Elephas maximus indicus: one gene and its partner. The protein of the gene in region 1 interacts with the protein of each later gene in a pairwise test. Links are inferred from orthologs where the notes say so. Each region holds a gene or a part of one and is shown on either strand. Other genes may lie near its edges.

Region 1 (10,182 bases):
TGCAAAGGATGAGGTCAAGTCGATGCACAGCCTCCACCACAGCCCTGCAGGGAAAGACAAGCAAACAGCCCCCGAGACATATGCATGGTACACAGGACACCGGGATGCTGCTTCTAGAGGAAAAGCTAAAGAATTAGGGGTGAGGAAACCAGGAGAAGGTGGCAGGCTGAGCTCTGTACAAAACAAGATGAACACAGTCTCCATCCTGATCTGGCAGCCTCCCACCCTCCCACCCCTCCCGGCCCTGGAGATGAAGGCAGTACTCTAACATTCAGTGAACAGAGGCCAGAGATATGCTAAATACCCTGCCCCCCAACAGTAGCAGCCATCCACAACAAAGAATTACCTGGCCCAAACGTCAACAGTGTCAAGGAAGAGAAACTATGTAACACCCTCCCCCATAGAAAGAGCACAGGCTGTGATGTCAGGCAGAAAATCCAGGGATTGAACCCTGGCCGTGTCTTACTAACTCTGTGACTTTGGGCAAATTACCTAAACTCTTTAAGCCTTAGTTACCACCATCAATAAAAATGAAAATAATAGCAGCTATCTCAGAGGACTGTTGTGAAGATAGAATAAAATAATTTATATACCACACTGGTATACCATAGGCATCCAATAAATGATGGCGGAATGAGTAAATCATTATTATGCACGGGGTTATTATCTGACATAAAGGGAAGGCATCCCTTGTATAAAATTCTGCTTTGAAATAGTGGGGCATGGAAAAGTAGGAGGGGACTCTTGAGTGGCTTATTTGTAAGGTGGACTGTCCATTTCACCACTCAACCTAGTCTGCTGGATTCTACTAAAGGAATTGTTTAGCATACTGTTAAGAGTGAAGGCTCTGGAACCAGACTGCCTGGGTTCAAATCCTGGCTCTACTTCTGTCCAGCTAAGCAGCTAAGTGGTCCTGGGCAAAATACCTAACCTCTTTATCTTTCAGTTCTTCCATCTATAAAATGGGGATAATAGCATCATCTAGCTTGTAAGAATTACATTAGCCAATATACACAAAGCACTCAAAACAGCACCTGGACATAATAAGTGCTCAATAAGTGTTAGTCTCCATCCTTCTAAGGCTCAAGCCCTGAGAAGTAAGTTTGTCATCACAGCAAATAAAAGGCCAAGGAAAGTCTACAATCGAAAGCCAAAAAGTCCCAGAGGTAGATGACATCTCCAGAAGGGTAAAACCAAGAGCATGATAGGCACCAATAGGTGAATCAGGCATATATGTGGAAATAAAAGCAACCAAAAAACTGGGAGTGATGATTCCCAAAACAAACTAAACTGTGTTCCTGGGCTGGGGCGGCTTAGGTGGAACACCACTAAAAGCTGTCCTGTAAAGGACAAAGTGACCACCAGCACCCAGCTGAGTGAGTGGGACAGTAATCAAGGCCTTCTCACAGGCAATCTGAGAACTCAGCATTTCTCCAAAAACCTTTTGGGCTGCCTAGAGATGGCAGCCAAACCCTTTTAGCCAGCCTGGCCCTCGGTGCCAGGGACAGCATCTGGCAGCCATCAGTGATTTACTCCATGCCAGCTTAGTCCCCAGGCAGGGCTTCTCGACCTCAATGCCATGGAGAGATCTAAGGTGTTGGTGGTATGTGTTTGTGTTTATGGAGAGGCTCCAGAGCGCTCCTTAGACTTCTCAATCCAAAAATGGTTAATAATCACTACTCTAAGAAGTTCCAATTACAAGATCTCAAATCTGAAAGGGTTCAGCAGTCTTTTCCCCACTCCTCATCAGACCATAAGCTCCTTCCACTAAATTGTTTGTACAGAAACCAGTATTATGACTCATTCACTACTGTAATCCCAGGCTTAACACGGTGTTAATATTTTTTAAATGCTGAAAAAAGAAATAATTAATTTGCCTAATTAATTGGTGCTTTTATTTGTTTCAGAGCCCTGGTGGTACAATGGTTAAGAGCTCAGGCTGCTAATCAAACCGTCAGCAGTTCGAACCCACCAGCTGCTCCTTGGAAGCCCTATGGGGCAGTTCTACTTTGTCCTGTAGGGTTGCTATGAATCGGAAACAACTGGATGGCAATGGGTTTTCTGGTTTTATCCATTCCAGCATCCCTTCTCCTGTTGCCTTTTGAGTGCTTAAAACATTTCAGAATTTTATTTGAGTAAACAACTAGGTTGTGGGAGTTTCCCAAATTTACTGGAGTGTGAGTGGCAGCTTTATAGTCTAACAAGTTTATCTTGGGCAGAGAAGTCAGATCTTCCTTCGCTAGTTTCCTTCCACCAATCGCCCTTGCTATAATAAACAATAAAAACAGAGACGGGCTACCTCAAATTTCCACACTGCTCAAAGCCAACAACATGCAACTGCAGGTACAAATACCCATGTGCACACATGGAAACCACACGCACAAACACACCAGCTTAAGTCAGCTAAGACCTGTGAAGGTAGTGGCTTGAGAAAGAACTAGATTTGAGAATGACAAGAAAGATGACCACAGCCATCCCTAAAAGCTGGAGACTAGTAAGGAATGTTGCAGACATTGCCCACGCTCTGTCTGACAGGCAGCGCTGACATTCGGCAGCATGACGAGGCACACGTGTCACCCCCAGCTAACTCCTTACTTGCCTGGGGACTGCCCGGGGCAGCCCACAGTGGGAGCCCAGGGGCTGCTGGATTGGATCACCTTTCTATTTTTGGAGCAGCCTATGCTCCCCTCTGCCTTCTGCCTTCTGGCTTACAAAACCAGAGGAGGCAGGATGCCTGCTCAGGGAAGAAAACACAACATGCTCTTGACCCTTTCACTGCCTACATGGGGGCCAAGGCTCTGAAGGTAGTTTCCTCATGCAAACACTCCTGTTCTCTATTGCCTGTGATAAATGAAAACCCCAAGTTCTTCTCCCTAAAAGGGCATAAAACTCACCTCATTCTCTACGCTTCCTCCTATTCTGATCCAGTTCTGGGGTCCATGTTCTAGCTGCCCTACCCCCCAAATCCTCAACCCAGGCTGGGAAAAGCTCATACTGGCCTGCTCCCAACAGAGGCTGAAGGGCGAAGATGTGACGTGAGGAGTGGGTAAACACCGTGGAAATCAGAAACCAGGAATGGAAGCTGCCTGGCAAGGGACTGCAGTCATGAGGCTGGGGGAAAGGCAAGACTCAGGAGTCCCTGAGGGCCCTGAAGTGGGCTCCCATTTCCTAAGAACACCCTGAACCCAAAGTCCTTCATGGCCCTTCCTGTCGAACGCAACTAGCCTTCCAGCCTCTCTGTTCTCATTCAGACTCCCCAAAATTTATAGAGTCATAAATGGCTTCAAGAGCTTGTCCAATCCGAATCGCTCCTTTTAAGGACAAGGAAACCGAGACTCAAGGTCACACAGTCAGAAAACGGCGAAGCAATGACCCGAACCTGGCTTTGAGTCCGGGGCTCTTCCCTGTTAAGTCCGGCCCGCAGGAATCCCCTACAGGGTTCTAAGCACCGTTCCCTTCCGGGTTTTTCTCTATCTGCGGCCCCGCCCTCACCTCTCTAACCCTTCCAGCCCCAATTCCCAGCCTCTTACCACAAACCCGCAAAGCTCAGTGCCCGCCCCAAGTTCACCGCGGAGGGGATGCCTCCACGTGCTTCCCTCCAAACCTCCCACCCACCCAATTCCGCCCTTCAGCTCCATCCCGGTTACGGAGCCCCACCCCTCCTGCTCCCTCCAAAATTGCACCCTCCTCCCTCGCCCGCCGCCCAGCCCGGCACCTGGCCCCCGCCCGTCCGGGAAGCCCCGCCCCTCGCTGTCCCCCCACTTCCCTCGGCTGCTGCACTCACGCCCCAGCCCCTCTCACCGGTAAAGCCGCTTGGTGTGGAGGACCTTTGCTTCGGGCTCGCTGCTCTCCCCTGTCGGGGGGCCTTGGCTCATGGTGCCCGGGTCCGGGGACGGCTCCCGGTCACAGGCCCCCGCCACCTACCGCTGCCGCTGCCATTGCCATATCCAGCCGTAGCCGCAGCCGCCACCACCGCCGGCCCTGCTCGGCCGCCATCGCTGTGAGGACGCTGCCCGCGACAGCTCCTCCTCCGCCTGTCAAATCTCGCGATATCAGTCAGGCGCACGGTTGTAGGCCAGTGGCCGGCTACTGCCAAATCTCGCGAAACTCATTTTCCCTCCCGGGAAGTTGCCAGAACTAACTCTGGGCAGCATGGCTCCATTCTGGCTTCTCTAAGCGCTCACGAAAAACTTTATTGACAAAGCTTCCAGAGAACAGACAGTGGACTCAGGAGGCTGAAGCTAAACTGGATTGGGGCAGGAGAGCCAACAGCGAGGGGCGTCCCAGTGATCTGCCCTCATTCCCTCCCCATTTGAGCCGAGCGTCTTTCAGGTTACTGGTTAGAGTGACTCCAATTCTCCCTTTTTTCCATAATTAAAAAAAAAAAAGTTAAAATTTTCTTGGAAAAAGCCAAGGATCACATAGGAGTAAGTCCCAGTGAGACTTTTGTACAAGCATCGCGCCTTTCAGCTCCACCTCCGAAAGATTTTCAGCTTGCGTATCTCTCTCATACCAGCCCAGCAAACATTTATTGAATACTTGCTGTCTTCCAACCACCGTGCTGAGGACACAGAGGTGAGCAAGCTAGACACTAACCGTGGTCTCACAGAGTTCCAATGCCTTTAGGAATAAGATCGCACAGGAATGAAAAGCCACTTTTTCTCCCACTCGCTCACGTAGAAGGATCACCTGCTATCTAACATGGATTTGTATTGCTCTCTTAACCTTAATAAGTTAAAAAGCAAGGTGTCCCCGAGCCTGTTTACAGGTTGCAATGGGAACATAAATTTCCCTTCCACCACTATGCTCTTGGCTCCAGCCACCTGACCTTTCTGCTCCTGAAACAGTCTGTCCTTCCTACCTGTTGGCCTTTCACTTGCTGTTCCTCTGCCTGGAACACTCATACTCCTGATTTCCCATCAGGTCTCGGCTGGAATGTCACCCTGTCAAAGAGACTTTCCTTATTGAAATTGTCTTTTTGGCTTAGTTGCTAGGTTTTTTAATTATCTATCACCCCAATAGAACAAAAGCTCCTCAAGGACAGGGACCTTGGCTGTCACCTTGTTTTCTTCTGGGTCAGTACCTAAAATAGCATCTAGCTAATAATAGTTCAATAAGTATTTACTGAATAAATAAATGTACAAATTCCACCTCTTTTCTGGGCATTCCAACTTATTCCAATACCTGCGAATATACAAACCCACTCTTCCTCCTCTGCTTTCCTAGCTGGGAGCCCCTACACATCCCATGTACCTAAAAAGTGTACTGGTGCCTATGCCCACCTGCACCCCCACTTCCAGAAAGAATGAAGTCCCTCCTCTAATGCCTTTTCTGTCGGCCAATTCAGCTGGGCGGGGCCTGCTCCTTTAATCTGGGCCCCACCTGCTCTGGTCAGACAGGTTTGGAGACACAGGTAAAGAGAGGGAGACGGAGAGAAATACTTGTAGAGCCAGCAGGGAGCTGGGCAGCTCCTTCCCAGACACCGGCCAGGACCCTCCACCTGTCTCCAGATGGAAAGTAAGAGGGTGTCATGGGTCCAAACTGCGAGGAGGGGTAGAAGGGTCCTTGAGGAAAAGGAGGGAGCAGTGAGGTGCAGACCAAATGGCAGGGTGGAAAGAAAGGCAGGAGGAGAGACATGGAAAACAGCCATTATTAAACCTGGAAGTTGGGAATGGACAGACCCCAGCCCTGTGGAGGTAGATGAAGTAGGCCAGTGAGGTGTTTGGAATCTGACCAAATACCCAGATTGGAGCTGAAGGGACAGGGTGCCCTGGGACAGCTAGCTCCCTAGGACATATTTGTAGGCAAATCACGGGCATCCACTGCCACTAGAGTTCCACGTGGTGGTCTGCAGGGGGAAGGGCAGGTGGGAAAATAGGGGGGCAGCTTCTCTAGTCACAGGAAGGTCCTGGGTGGAAAGGAAGTTCTTGGCAAAGTTCTAGACACCTCCTCTTTCTCCCTTTCCTGGATTAGGGTGGCCATGACCCCAGGGGTTTTGGTGGAGTGGGGCAGAAGGCGTGGGTAGGCCAGCTGAGGCCATAACTGCCAGGACCTGTGCCCCCCTGACTCACCGTCTCCTGCTGGTTGGCATTTGGTGTCGAAAGGGAGCCTCCATTTCAGCTGCTCACTTCCCTTCCACCTCCCTCTGTTTCAACACCTTCCTCACAGCATGTTCTCCTTAAGGTCCCAGATGGGGCTCAAGCCCATCAAGGGTCTGTCCTGGAGAGTTCCAGCTCTGCCCGCTTGTCCTAAGGGCCAGAGGACAGGGGCACTGACAGAGCTTCCCTCTGCTCTCTGCAGGGTGACATGACCTCGCTGTAGACCCCAGAACTGAGGCCTCAGCATGACCAAACCTGAGACTGTAGCCCTGTTGGAAGTGAAGGGGTCCGAGGCTTTGGAAAAGAGCCCACCTCAGGCTTTGGTTCCCAATGGCCAGCAGCCAGAAGGGGAAGGTGGGGCTGAGTCCCCCAGAGCTGAGTCCCCCAGAGTGGAGTCTTCGGTTGGGTCTCCCATGGCTGGAGAGGGGACTGAGGATGGTCTGGACAGCACAGTGAGCGAGGCTGCCACCTTGCCCTGGGGGACTGGCCCCCAGCCCAGTGCTCCGTTCCCAGACCCCCCCGGCTGGCGGGGCATTGGGCCAGAGTCCCTAGAGTCAGAGCCACCTCCCAGGCCAGAGGAGCCATCCGAAGATGATGTGAACCTGCTGCCTGAGAAGGCAGCCCGCGCCTTTGTGCCCATCGACCTACAATGCATTGAGCGGCGGCCCCAGGAGGACCTCATAGTGCGCTGTGAGTCAGGCGAGGAGGAGCGCCGGGCCTTTCTGCCCACCCGGGCCACCCACCCTGAGCCCCCTGAGCGCAAGTGGGCTGAGGCAGTGGTGAGGCCACCTAGCCGGTCCTGCAAGGGCTGTGGGAGCCGTGAGGGGCTGAGGGCCGTGGCCTCGGTAGGGGCCGCCCTCATCCTCTTCCCCTGCCTACTGTATGGGGCATATGCCTTCTTGCCCTTCGATGCCCCTCGGCTGCCCACAGTGAGTTCCCGTCTGGTCTACACGCTGCGCTGCGGGGTCTTTGCCACCTTCCCCATCGTGCTGGGTGAGCTCGGGGCCCTTCAGAAGAAAGGGGACATCTGGGAACTAGACTCGAGGAGGGTGGGACCTGCTGGTTTGGGGAGCAGTTGGGTTTCCCTTCACTCGAGCTGGACCCCTCATGGCCTCCTGTGCCCTGCCACCTGTGTGTCCACCCATCTTAGGACCACCTCAGCCCCACTGTGTATAATCTATGCACTTTCCTTCTGTGGGGCCTGCACCCTCCACTGTGAACCCTGGCCCCAGCTTCCTGCCTAAAGCTCCTTCCTCCTGTCTTTCCTGACTCTGTGTGCTCCCCAACCCCACCCCAGGAATCCTGGTATATGGGCTGAGCCTGCTGTGCTTTTCTGCCCTACGGCCCTTTGGGGAGCCCCGGCGGGAGGTGGAGATCCACCGGCGATATGTGGCCCAGTCGGTGCAGCTCTTCATCCTCTACTTCTTCAACCTGGCCGTGCTTTCCACCTACCTGCCCCAGGACACCCTCAAGCTGCTCCCACTGCTCACTGGCCTCTTTGCCATCTCCAGGTGAGTTGGGACTGCGGGTGGAGCTTGAGGGCAAGGCAGTGATGCTAGAGGGACCCAGGCAACTGAATGGCTGGAGAACCAGGGACAGGGGTCTTTCTGGATTCTGCATCAGCCCAAATGTGAATCCTGGAGCAGTGAGTCCACTTTCTCCCTTGCACTTGACCTCACCTGGTAGTGGGTAATCAGCTCATATGTCTTCTCATAGGAAGCTGACTTCAGAGACATATATACCAACCTAGAACCTGAAGGGCATTCAGGCATCATCCTGACCAACCTCCCACCCGTTGTAGCCACTCCTCTGTGGCACTCTGGTCTAGTGGCCATTTGGCGTCTTGTTGAACACCCCCTCAGATAAGGGGCTCAATTCTTTACAAGACAATCTGTTTCACTTCTTAAAGGTCCTGATTGTTATAAAGGAGCCCTGGTGGCACAATGGTTAAGTGCTCAGCTGCTAACTGAAAGGTTGGAGGTTCTAACCCACCACTGCTCTGTGGGAGAAGAAACCTGGCGATCTGCTCCTGTAAAGATTACAGCCTGGGAGACCCCATGGGGCAGTTCTACTCTGTCACACTGGGTCTCTATGAGTCAGAATCGACTCGAGGGCACACAACAATTATTAGGAGTCCCTGGGCATTGCAAATGACTTGCACCCACTACTAATCAAAAAGTTGATGGTTTTGAACCCACCCAGTAGCACCATGAGAGAAAGGCCTGGTGATCTGCTTCCATAAAGATTACAGCCAAGAAAACCCCACGGAGCTGAATTCTACTCTGTAATACATGGGGTTGCCATGAGTCGGAATTGACTTGATGACAACAGGTTAACTGTTAGAAAGTTTTTATGTTGTGCTGAAAACTGCTGCCCCGACCCTGATCTCTGGAATTGCCTAAGGCAAATTCAGGCGTTTGATGACAGCTCTTAAACCCCCTAGCTCAGCACCCTGCTACCCAGTCTCTTTCTTTGCTAACTGCCCAGGTCCCTTCACTGTCCCAGGTCCTTTCCTCTGGGCAGGAAATTCTCCTGCTTGTTAATGGGGACCCTTCAAGGGCACTATCCTATTCATGCAAACCATGGCCACATTAGCTCTCATGGTAGCGTCATTACTCTCCTTTCATTCAGAGTCTGCAGTCCCCTGAAATCCCTAGGGCTTTTTCCACGTGAACTACTGTTCACCTGGAAGGCATCTTTGAATTTCTGAGCCCAAACGCAGGTCTTTCCATTTTTCCCTAATACATTTCCTCTTGTTACTTTTGATACAGGCTTCCAGGTAGCTTTAACTGCTAAAATATTATTCCTTATATCAAGCTAAAATGTGCCTTCCTGTCACTTTTGATTGTAGTCTAGTGGTCAGCTGTACCCCCCTCCCCCAGCCTCCTGACCATCATGCAGCTTTGCCTTTTCTCTCCGTAAATGTTTCTCAAGATAAATATGTTCCTGCTTACGTAACTCAACCTCCCATCTCTCTTGGAGAATGCTGGTCTCAGGGAGAAGTTGGCTTAAGCAGTAAGAATCATTAGGCAGCTAAAGGAAGACTCAGCAATTATCCGGTCCAGCCGCCTCATTTTATAGGACTGGAATCCAGGTCCCTTCCTCCTTCTATCCAGGCTCCTTTTTTCTCTTCCATGGCCAAGTTGCCTTAGCATTTTGTCCCTGTTTCATCATCTATAAAATGCAGTTGTTGTGAGGACTGAATGAGTTAATTCCTGTAGGGTGCTTACAGCAGCCAGGCACTTGGGAAGGCTTGATAAATGTGGCCTCTTACTGTTATCCCATGCTGCTTCCTGGTACAGTCCAGAAACCGCAGTTACTCTTCCCTCCCTTTCACAGGTGAAAAAGCAATTTTGTAATGAGTGGTCAGTCCTTTTTATATTAAGCAGATGCTGCTCCTCCAATCCCCATTGAAGGATGTGTATTTTGTTTTTCCGAAAGGGAAAATTTGGTGGCTGACCCATCCCTCTGGGCTTCAAGCCCTCGTGAAGCTGGCTTCTCCTCTTTTTCCTCTGCCCCTTTAAAAAGACAGGAGGCTTGGGTTCAAATCACAGCTTTGCTATTTCCCAGATGTATAACCTTGAGCCAGTCTTATTTAACCCCTTTGGAGCCTTAGTTTCCTCATTGGCAAAAGAGGAAATAAACACACTGAAATGCACTGCCGATGTAAAAGAATGAGGAAGCTGTTTATATACTGATATAAAATTATCTCCAAGATACGTTAAAAGAAAAAAATCAACGTGTAGAACAGTGCATATAGTATGCTGCTGTACTTCAAAAAAGGGAGAAAAAGAAAACAAAAATCGTTTCGCTCATCCTATGTGTGTAAAAGATCACTTGAAGCACAAGAAACCATAACACCGGCTGCCAGGGAGTCAGGAAAGGTACTATATGCATGGGGGTACCTTTGAATTTTGAACCATGTCAATGTATACTACCCATTCGAAAATTTTTAATTAAAATTTGAAAAATATATAAAAGAGGAGGATAAATATACCGGTTTCATAGAGATGTGGATAAGTCTAATAGTGCTGTTCAAGTAATTAGCACAGTACCTGGCACATTGTAAGTGCACGAATATTGG
Region 2 (10,182 bases), on another chromosome or scaffold:
TCCTTTAGTAAATGTTGCAGTCCACATAGAAATTAATTCACAGGACTCCCATTATACAGGCACTTGGGGATTCAGCAACATGCATTCCTTTCTGGAATAAGTTGGAATAATTTGGAATTGCTCAAGTTCACTCAAAGCACTGCTTGCTGTTTGCATCATTTTAACTACACCTTATGGAACTAGGGAAACCCTGGTGGCATAGTGGGTTAAGTGCTACAGCTGCTGACCAAACCGTCAGCAGTTTGAATCCGCCAGGCGCTCCTCGGAAAATTTATGGTGCAGTCCTACTCTCTCCTACAGGGTTGCTATGACTAGGAATTGGCTTGATGGCAACAGGCTTATGGAACTACCTATTTCAGTGTTTAAACAGTAAATTTGAGGTAAGCAATGATAGTATTGTACAGTGATTATAAAAACAAAGAAACAGAATTTGGTCTACTTTAACTGTCATTCTATGTGACCACTTAGAATTTTTATTTATATTGTATAAAATTTTTTGACCTGCAGAGCAACATTTGAAGCCTCTAGAATTGATTCTGAAGGAAAAAGACATGAGCAATCTTGCAATTTCTGAAACTATTGTGAAATAAGAGTTTTATAGATCTCTTGTATCCTTATAAACCTTTTTCCTAAGTTTACGTATATGTTTCTTCAGCAAAATAAACTTTTCAAAATTAAATTGATTAGTCAACGAGAATATATGAAAAATATTAATTTTGACAAAATCATTGACAAATTGGGGAAGGTAAGCTCTAAATCAGAAACTGTAATATTTTTTATTAATGTGATATACATAAATATAGGTGTAAAACTTTCTCCTTTTCCCAGAAGTACATTACTATAATTTAAAAGATTTTACACATATAATTCAAAGTATTTTGTACAATACTATTCATTTTAATTTGTTGAAAAGAAAATGAGGCTCAGATTGTCAGATTCCTCTGAGTGCATAGAAAAGTTGCACAAAGATCATTGACCAATGTGGAATGCACTCGAGAACAGATAGACAGGAACAAAGAGACAAGGTGGCAATACCAAAAAAACAAAACAAAACAAAACCCATTGCTGTGAAGTCAATTCTGACTCACGGTGACCTTATAGGACAGTGCAGAAATGTCCTAAAGTGTTTCCAAGGCTGTAAATCTTTACAGAAGCAGATTGCCACATCTTTCTCCCATGGAGCGACTGGTGGATTCAAACCTAGCACTTTAACCGCTGCACCACCAGGGCTTCTTGATGGCGATATACCCTTGAGTTGATTATGACTTATAGTGACCCTATAGCACAGAGTAGAACTGCCCCCAATAGGCTTTCCAAGGAGTGTCTGGTGGAATTCAAACTGCCAGCCTTTGGGGTAGCAGCCAAGCTCCTAACCACTACCCCACCAGGGCTCCCTACCCAAACCAAAAAATACCAAGCCTGTCGTTGTGGAGTCGATTCCAGCTAAGAGTGACTCTATGGAACAGGGTAGATCTGCTCCATAGAGTTTCCAAGGAGTGCCTGGTGGATCTGAACTGCCAACCCTTTAGTTAGCAGCCAGAGCACTTAACCACTACAGCACCAAGGCGCCATAAAAAAAAAAAAAAAAACCAAACCCACTGCCATCGAGTCAATTTTTGGCTTTAGGTAAAGATAAATCCTTTTCATAATGTGAACTCTGAGTTCACGGTTCACAAATGTTTTGTCACAAAGAGGGTTTGTGTGATTTTATGGGTTTTTGGTTTTATGAATCAGTTTTTTCATCAAATCCCACTGAGAATATGAATTATTATTATTACCTTTTTTTTCTTTTTTTGCCTATTTGGTATTTTGGTTAAGTCCACTTATTTTTCTCCTGTTTCTTACATTAATGTTTAAAAACAAAACCAAACTTGTTGCAGTGGAGTCGATTCTATCTTACAGCAACCCTATAGGACAGAGTAGAATTGCCCCCTGAGTTTCCAAGAAGTGACTGATAGATTCCTGGAACTGCGGAAATTTTGATTAGCAGCCAAGCTCTTAACCACTAACCACAAAGGCCTCCCAAATTAATGTTTAACAGAGAGTATTTTTCTCTGGATATTTAGACCCTCTCCTTTCCCCATCCTTTTAAATGCGGAGGGTTTTCTTATTTTTCCAGTATGTCAAGTTTCGCTGTTCAGTTGTTTGACTGCCTCTCACTGCCATCCAGTGGATTCGGACTCATAGCGGCCCTGTAGGACAGATCTTTACTGAAGCAGACCGCCACATCTTTCTCCTGCTGAGTGGCTGGAAGGTTCAAATCAATGACCTTTTAGTCAGCAGCCAAGCACTTTAGCCGCTGCACAACCAGGGCTCCCAGAATAAAAAACACCAAAGTTTATGTCTATTGCATTTTTCTTTGACAGTTTAGAGAGTCAATTGTTTTTGTGGGATTGAGATTAAATAGAGGAATATAGTCATAGAGAATAAAAGTCATTTCATACAGAAAGACTCTTGTATCAGCGGTCTGCATTGACAGAATAAATCCAGCTTCTCCAATTACTGCCTGGAAGAAGTGTTTCCCTCATCGCTGTTCTTTGGTTCTGTATAGTAGGCTGACCCTCCTGCCTTTAGCCATGATATGGCCTGCTTTCTAAGGGCTCCTTTATAGAACTGAAATACTGAAGAATGTTGGAATTAGACCACACTGCTGCTTTGCAGCACACCTACAAAAAGTTAGTGGAAGTTTAATTTTATGTGTCAACTTGGCTAGACTGTGGTGCCCGTTTTTTTGGACAAACGCTTTTCTAGATGCTTTTATGAAGTAGTTAAACCAAAAAACCAAACCCAGTGCCATCGAGCCGATTCCAACTCATAGTGACCCCATAGGACAGAGTAGAACTGCCCCAAAGAGTTTCCAAGGAGGGCCTGGTGGATTTGAACTGCTGACGCTTTGGTTACCAGCAGTAGCACTTAACCACTATGCCACCAGGGTTTCCGTATGAAGTAGTTACATGTGATTAAATTAGTTACATGCCTCAGGTAAAACAGATTACCCTCCATAATGTGTGTGGGCTTCAACCAATCAGTTAAAGGCCATAAGAGCAAAAAGGGACTTTCTCTTAAGGTGTATTCTTCTTTCAGACTGTAAGTAGACATTTTGCCAGAACCCCTTCACTCTTTATTCTTCCCCATCACCTGACCTATGAATGTTGGTATGTAAGACTGCAGGAATCGCCAGTCTGTTGCCTGACCCACAGATTTTTAATTTTCCAGCCCCCACATCCTGTGAGCAAGCCAATTCCTTAAAAATAAATCTCTCTGCCTCTATTATATAGATACATGTGTATACATAAATATATATATGTGTGTTTGTGAGTATGTATGTATATATATATATGAGAGGCATTAGTGATTCAGTGGTAGAATTCTCACCTTTCATGCAGATCTGAGTTTGATTCTATTCCTGGCCAGGGCAACTCATTCACAGCCAATACCCGTCTGTCAACAGAGGCTTGCATTTAGCTATGATGCTGAATAGGTTTCATGGGGCTTCCAGACTAAGACAGACTAGGAAGGAAAGCCCAGCGATTTACTTCTGAAAATAAGCCAATGAAAATTTTATGGATCACTATGGTCTGATCCTGTTGCATGTGGGGTCACCATGAGTTGGGGTCTGAATCAATGTTAGCTAAAAACAATATCTATATCTACATCTATAAAACCAAACCAAACTCGCTGCTGTCCAGTTGATTCCAACTCATAGCAAACTTACGCCTGTATCTATATGTCTTAATGATTCCGTTTCTCTAGAAAATTGTGGTTAAGACAGGGAGGAACCCACTTATTTACTCTCCAGTGATCTATCTTCCATTTTGATAACATGTTAAACAGATGTGTCCTGCTTTCTACAGTCTTCAAATTCTGATAAATGGATTGGACATCTGTCTAGTTTCTAGAAGTAATAAGTATTTTCCATGTATCATTGATTTAATCATTACTAAGGAAATTGGAAGAGAGGAAAAAATCAAACACTTTGCAGAACATTTCAGTCCCAGAACTCTCCATGAGCTGTTAATTGCTACAGAAATGTACAGAATGGTGAAGGAGGCAGTGTAACCTAACAGAAAGGGCACGAAGTTTGCAGCAGGAGTGAACCTTGCTCTGATTACTTAGTCCACTCTCTTTTATTAACTACTTAAACCTGAGAAAGGGGCTAAATTTTTTCATCTGAAAATAGAAATAATAATACCTACAATATAGGCTCGCTGGAAAACTGAGATTAAATGAGAAAGCAAGTACAATGCACAGTACCTAACACATAGTAATTGTTCAATAAATAATTACTGCTTCGTGTGATTATCCCACGACAAATATCAGATATTTGATCCCTGCTGTTGCTACAATTATGCCCCTCCTAATGGCATCCTTCACACTTTCATCTGTAGGTTTCCTTTGCTAAGCAATAAGCTTCTACACAGGTATTGTTTATCCTTATATTCCCAACTCCTATTGGTTGAAAAGGTGGACATTCAACAAATGTTTATTGAATGAATGCATGAATAAATTAATGAATGTGTAGTCATAATGAAGTCATGGTGAACTCAAGATACCAAGATTGTTTGACAGTTTGCATAAGCCAAGTCATTTAATGATGTCAAAATCAGTTGTGAGAATAATGAAAGCAGCTTGGGACATAAATCTATATATTTTTATTTTATTAGGTCTGAAACAAGGATCTATCTACTATGCTGTGTTATAATTTTCTTAGAATCAGCAGTCTCAGAAATAGGATCTAAAGGTCCGAATGGGAAATTGCCACAGCAGAATTTTCACTTCCTGCTCCTGGGTATCTGGTTGAACTACTCAAGCTCAAGTCGTTAAACCTCAGCGATTGCCCATCCCACATGATTTGACTCATAGGTCCTCTTTTGTCCGTAAGCAGTTGTCTTAGAAGAGAAGAAAGGGCTCTCAGATGCTATGTCTGTCCAGGGACTCAACAGAACAATGGAATATTATTCCAATACAGAAAATTTGGATGAGGATGGATATACTCAATTAGACTTCAACTCTAGAGACAACTCCAGGAGACCTATAGTCTCAAAGAAAGGTAATTTTTCTTTATCCCTTCAATACTTTCATCATCATTATCCAAATCACCGAAGAGAAGAAAATTTGAGACTTGTGATTTATAGGGCTTTTATTAATACTTTTTTAAATGTCAGGTTTTCAGAAGTCACTGAAGATAATTTGAATGTGAGCTAAGTATTTTCTTGTGGCAACTCAGATAATAGCATTCAGTGTCTAATTACTAGTATTTAAATTAATTATGTATGATGACAAAATATTCAGAATTTCTCTTTTCTGTAGGAGTAGACATTTGAACAGTGAGGAGTTGTAATAAATGTGGCAATGAGCAAAAATGAAGGAATTTCAATAAGAGTGGTTTATTGCTTGGTTGATAGAAAGGCATAGATTGTAGAATGGAGGTCAAGGAAACTTAAAGAAGTGTATAAGAACATCAGGATATAGCAGATAAGAAAGCGAATGATAAAAAAAAAAAAAAAAGATGGAAGATCAGTAATGGAAGGCACCGAGGGAAAAAGAATCTGTCATATTCTGGTAAAATGGAAGTCAGATGTAATAGTGTTTATAATATTGATTTGTTATGATTTATGTGATGTGAAATTGATTTGGCTTATTGATTTAATTAGCTTTTAATCAAAGGGAAGTTCTTGATATACCGGTGAAGGAAAATACACATGTTAAAGGAAGAGATTCCTTTAGTGACAAATGAGTCTTAAAATATAAGAAGGTGAAATACGAAGGACATAAGAAAAACCCATCTTTTCATAGAATTAATAATTTAGCCTCCTCTATTAGTTTCCTGGAAACCCTGGTGGTATAGTGGTTAAGAGCTATAGCTACTAACCAAAAGGATGGTAGTTCAAATCCACCAGGTGCTCCTTGGAAATCCTATGAGGCAGTTCTGTTCTGTCCTGTAGGGTCGCTATGAGTTGGTATTGACTTAATGGCAACAGGTTTGGTTTTTTTTTTTTTTTATTATTAGTTTCCTATTTGAAAATCCTATGAAATTCTCTTATTACTTATTCTCAGTTAAAGGCAGAGATAGGTTCTTAGTGTGTCAATGTTAACACAAAATGGGTTCCATGTTATATCGGGAGAGAGATTATTGACAGGTTTTGGCATAAGAATTTGCTCTCTTCTGCTTTCTTGTTAGTCACATTGCACAATTATTTTTGTCTCACCACTTATGTAATTCTTTCCTTGAGCAATCTACTGGGGAAGAGTGGAAAAACTGAGTGAGGCAAGAGGGAGGAAGGCATGCATGTGTTTATGTGTATGCGTGGGCAAACACTGAGTTACCTACAGTGTGCTAACAGTATTTAAACTAGGTGCTTTTACTTATGTAAACCAATGCAATCCCCACAACAATCCATTGAAGTATTCTTAGTCCAGTTTTCAATAAATAATAATGAAAAACCAGAGGGGGTAATTTGCTCAAGATCCTGCAGCAAATAAGTAAAAAGAGAAGGTTCCATATTTTGATTTTGCCACCCTTGGTAACCACTGTTCTTTCCCCTACATTAAGCTCCCTGCTTAAGGAATAAGTGGGATTTCAGGATTCCTAGCAGTGACAAGACCTGTAGCTGACTTTGTGGAACTGAAATTAAGAATGGATACATATCAAAGCACTGTGCCCAAATTACATGTCCAGGGCTTGAAGAGGCATGCTAAAGGTGTATAAAAAATTAGGCTAGTACTAGATGATTAGATTATCTCAAAAACAGTGACTAATGAATGGTTCACTTTGGAATTTGCCAGATTTTGATGAACTGTAGATTTAAAGAGCCTCACAGTCCATCAGGTGTAGTGGTTAAGTGCTACGGCTGCTAACCAAAAGGTCAGCAGTTCGAATCCCCCAGGCACTCCTTGGAAACTCTATGAGGCAGTTCTACTCTGTCCTTTAGGGTCGCTGTGAGTCCGAATCAACAGGTTTGGCTTTTTGGTTTCTCAGTCCATCATTCTAGTCCTTCATTCAACTTCTTCTCCCTCTGGCTCCTCAGGAACTTGTGCTGCATCTCCTCGTTGGTGTGTCATTGCTGTGATTTTGGGGATCTTATTCTTGATAACACTGGTGATAGCTGTGGTTCTGGGCACCAAGGGTGAGTACTGTTAGAGGAGATTAGCAATAATGCATACTTTCAATGAACATTCATTACATGCCAGGCACTTGTTTAAAGGTTTGACATACATAATTTCATTTAACCCTTACATTAACTCTATTGAGTTGGTACTATTAATCCCCATTTTATTTATAAGTGAATTGAGAGATAGGGAGGTAATTTTACTATTCTAGGGTCATGGTGGGGCCATGATTAAAATTTAGATAGGCTGTCTGAGAAACTCCGAGTCCATGGGTTCCACATCAGTGGATTCAACCAACCACAGATTGAAAATATTTGAAAAAAATACAAAAGAAGAAGGAAGGAATACACGGACTCACTGTACCAAAAAGAATTGATGTTCAGCCATTTAAGGAGATTGTATATGATCAAGAACTGATGTTACTAAAGGAAGAGTTCCAAGCTACACTGAAGGCATTGGTGAAAAACAGGATTCCAGAAATTGATGGAATACCAACGGAGATGTTTAGAAAAAACGTTTTCAGTGCCAGAGGTGCTCACTCATCTGTGTCAAGAAATTTGGAAGACAGCTACCTGGCCAATCAACTGAAAGAGATCCATATTTGTAACGATTCCAAAGAAAGATGATCCAACAGAGTGTGGAAATTATGGAACAGTATCATTAATATCACACACCAGTAAAATTTTGCTGAAGATCATTCAAAAGCAGCTGCAGCAGTATATCGACAGGGAAGTGCCAGAAACCCAAACCAGATTCAGAAGAGATGTGGAACCAGGGATATCATTGCTGATGTCATATGGATGTTGGCTGAAAGCAGAGAATACTAGAAAGGTGTTTACCTGTGTTTTATTGACTATGCAAAGGCATTTTACTGTGCGGATCATAACAAATTACAGAGAACATTTCCAAGAATTGAAATTCCAGAACACTTAATTGTACTCATGAGGAACCTGTACTTAGGTCAAGAAGCAGTTGTTCAAACACAATAAGGTAATACTGTGTGGTTTAAAGTCAAGAAAGGTGTGCATTAGGGTTGTGTCCTTTCACCATATTCATTCAATCTGTATGCTGAGCTAATAATCTGAGAAGCTGGAGTATATGAAGAAGAACAGGGCACCAGGATTGGAGGAAGACTTGTTAACAACCTGTGATATTCAGAAGACACAATCTACCTTGCTGAAAATGAAGAGAATTTGAAGCACTTATTGATGAAGATCAAAGACCACAGCCTTCAGTATGAATTACACCTCAACATAAAAAAAAAAATCTTCACAACTGGATCAATAAGAAACATGATGATAAACCAAGAAAAGACTGAAGTTGTCAAGGATTTAATTTCACTTGGATACACAGTCAATGCTTATGGAAGCAGCAGTCAAGAAATCAAATGACATATTACATTGGGCAAATGTGCTTCAAAAGACCTCTTTAGAGTGTTAAAAGCAAAGATGTCACTTTAAGGACTAAGGTGCACCTGACCCAAGCTTGGTGTTTTCATTCACCTCATATACATGTGAAAGCTGGGCAATGAATAAGGAAGAGGGAAGAAGAATTGAGGGCTTTAAATTATGGTGTTGGAGAAGAATATTGAATATACCATGGACTGCCAGAAGAACAAACAAATCAAAACATGTCTTAGAAGAAGCACAGCCATAATGCCCCTTAGAAGTGAGCATGGCAAGATTTTGTCTAACATACTTTGGAGGTGTTATCAGGAGGGACCAGTCCCTGGAGAAGGACATCATCCTTGGTAAAGTAGGGCATCAACAAAAAGAGGAAGGCCCTCAGAGAGTTTGACTGACACAAAGCTGCAACAATGGGCTAAAGCAAAACAACAATTGATAGCATGGCTCAGGACCGGATAACGTTCCGTTCTGTTGTACACAGGGTCGCTATGAGTCAGAACTGACTCAACGGCTGCTAACAACAGAGATGATTTAAAGTATATGGGAGGATGTGTGTAGAATTGAGCGTTTGAGGATTTTGGTATGGAAGGGTTGTTCTGGAACCAATCTCCTATGGATACCGAAGGACTACTGTGACTAGTTTCAAAGGCATGGAATTTCCACAATAAATTAATGGAGCTGAAGAGGGAAGTACGATATGGTACCATCTTCCTAAAGAAGTAAATTCACTAAAGAGACTATAAAATTTTTCTATAAAGCTTATGATTTAAGGAAATCATTTTATACCTGATATTTAGTACAAACTCCTCTGGATGTACCAGGAATTGTCTGAGGCAACTAGAAATATCTGAGACACCTACTAAGTACTGTATATATTTTTTATGATGAATAAATTTCTTTAGATTTTATATATCATGCATTCTGGTCACAATAAAGTACTATTATGCCTTAAGAGATTCTTCATTAATTAGTCAAATGTTTATTGAGTGTATTCTACTACCGACACTCAAGGAGCTAAGGAGCTAACATTTCTAAATAACAGAAAGCAGAGAGACGAATTATTACTGTTTTAGATCTATCATTATTCCTATCAACTCTCTTCCATTTGCCTCCTACTTCCATCATTTTTTTTCTTTTCTACCTGCTTCATTTCTCTCACTTCTCACAGCACCTCCTTTATGGAAGTTATTTAGCCTTTCTTTCTACCACTATGCGTGCAGCCATCTGTCCATAGGTCCCTCTGTTCATACATACATATATCAGTCCACCCGTCCACTGTTTGGTTGGTCTGTCTGCCTATCTATCTATGGATGGATCTGTTGATTTCTCACTCATCTTCACCTCCCCACTAGCAATTTGTCATTTACTTCTCATTAATCTGGTGCCCTCGTGGTGCAGTTGTTAAGCACTCAGCTGCTAACTGAAAAGTCAGCAGTTCAAACCCACCAGCCAATTCTGTGGAAGAAAGATGTGGCAGTCTGCTTCTGCAAAGATTTTTAGCCTTGGAAACCCCATAGGGCAGTTGTACTAAACAGGGTTGCTTTTGAGTTGGAATGGACTCGAAAGAAATTTTTTTGTGTCATTAATCAATAATGTATTTCTTTATGTCCCCACAAAACAAATACACGGGTTTTGGGATTTTACTTTTCAAATATAGTGGAATGAC

What was found.
Region 2: the proteins of TMEM79 (region 1) and CLEC7A interact in binary tests that used the Homo sapiens proteins (3 or more experiments, as listed by UniProt). The two-hybrid records come from large-scale screens. The link is inferred for Elephas maximus indicus from reciprocal best matches to the Homo sapiens genes TMEM79 and CLEC7A.

What each region holds. Positions count from the first base shown.
Region 1 is NC_064821.1:194,075,307-194,085,488, forward strand, and holds the start of TMEM79 (transmembrane protein 79), read left to right. Parts: upstream 1-5,408; 5' UTR 5,409-5,517; intron 5,518-6,300; 5' UTR 6,301-6,343; coding exon 6,344-7,091; intron 7,092-7,395; coding exon 7,396-7,609; intron 7,610-9,813; exon of another isoform or gene 9,814-10,182. Other genes in the region: nonsense-mediated mRNA decay factor SMG5, read right to left, coding at 1-44, 3,802-3,875.
Region 2 is NC_064822.1:67,379,298-67,389,479, reverse strand, and holds the start of CLEC7A (C-type lectin domain family 7 member A), read left to right. Parts: upstream 1-4,842; 5' UTR 4,843-4,920; coding exon 4,921-5,050; intron 5,051-7,028; coding exon 7,029-7,127; intron 7,128-10,182.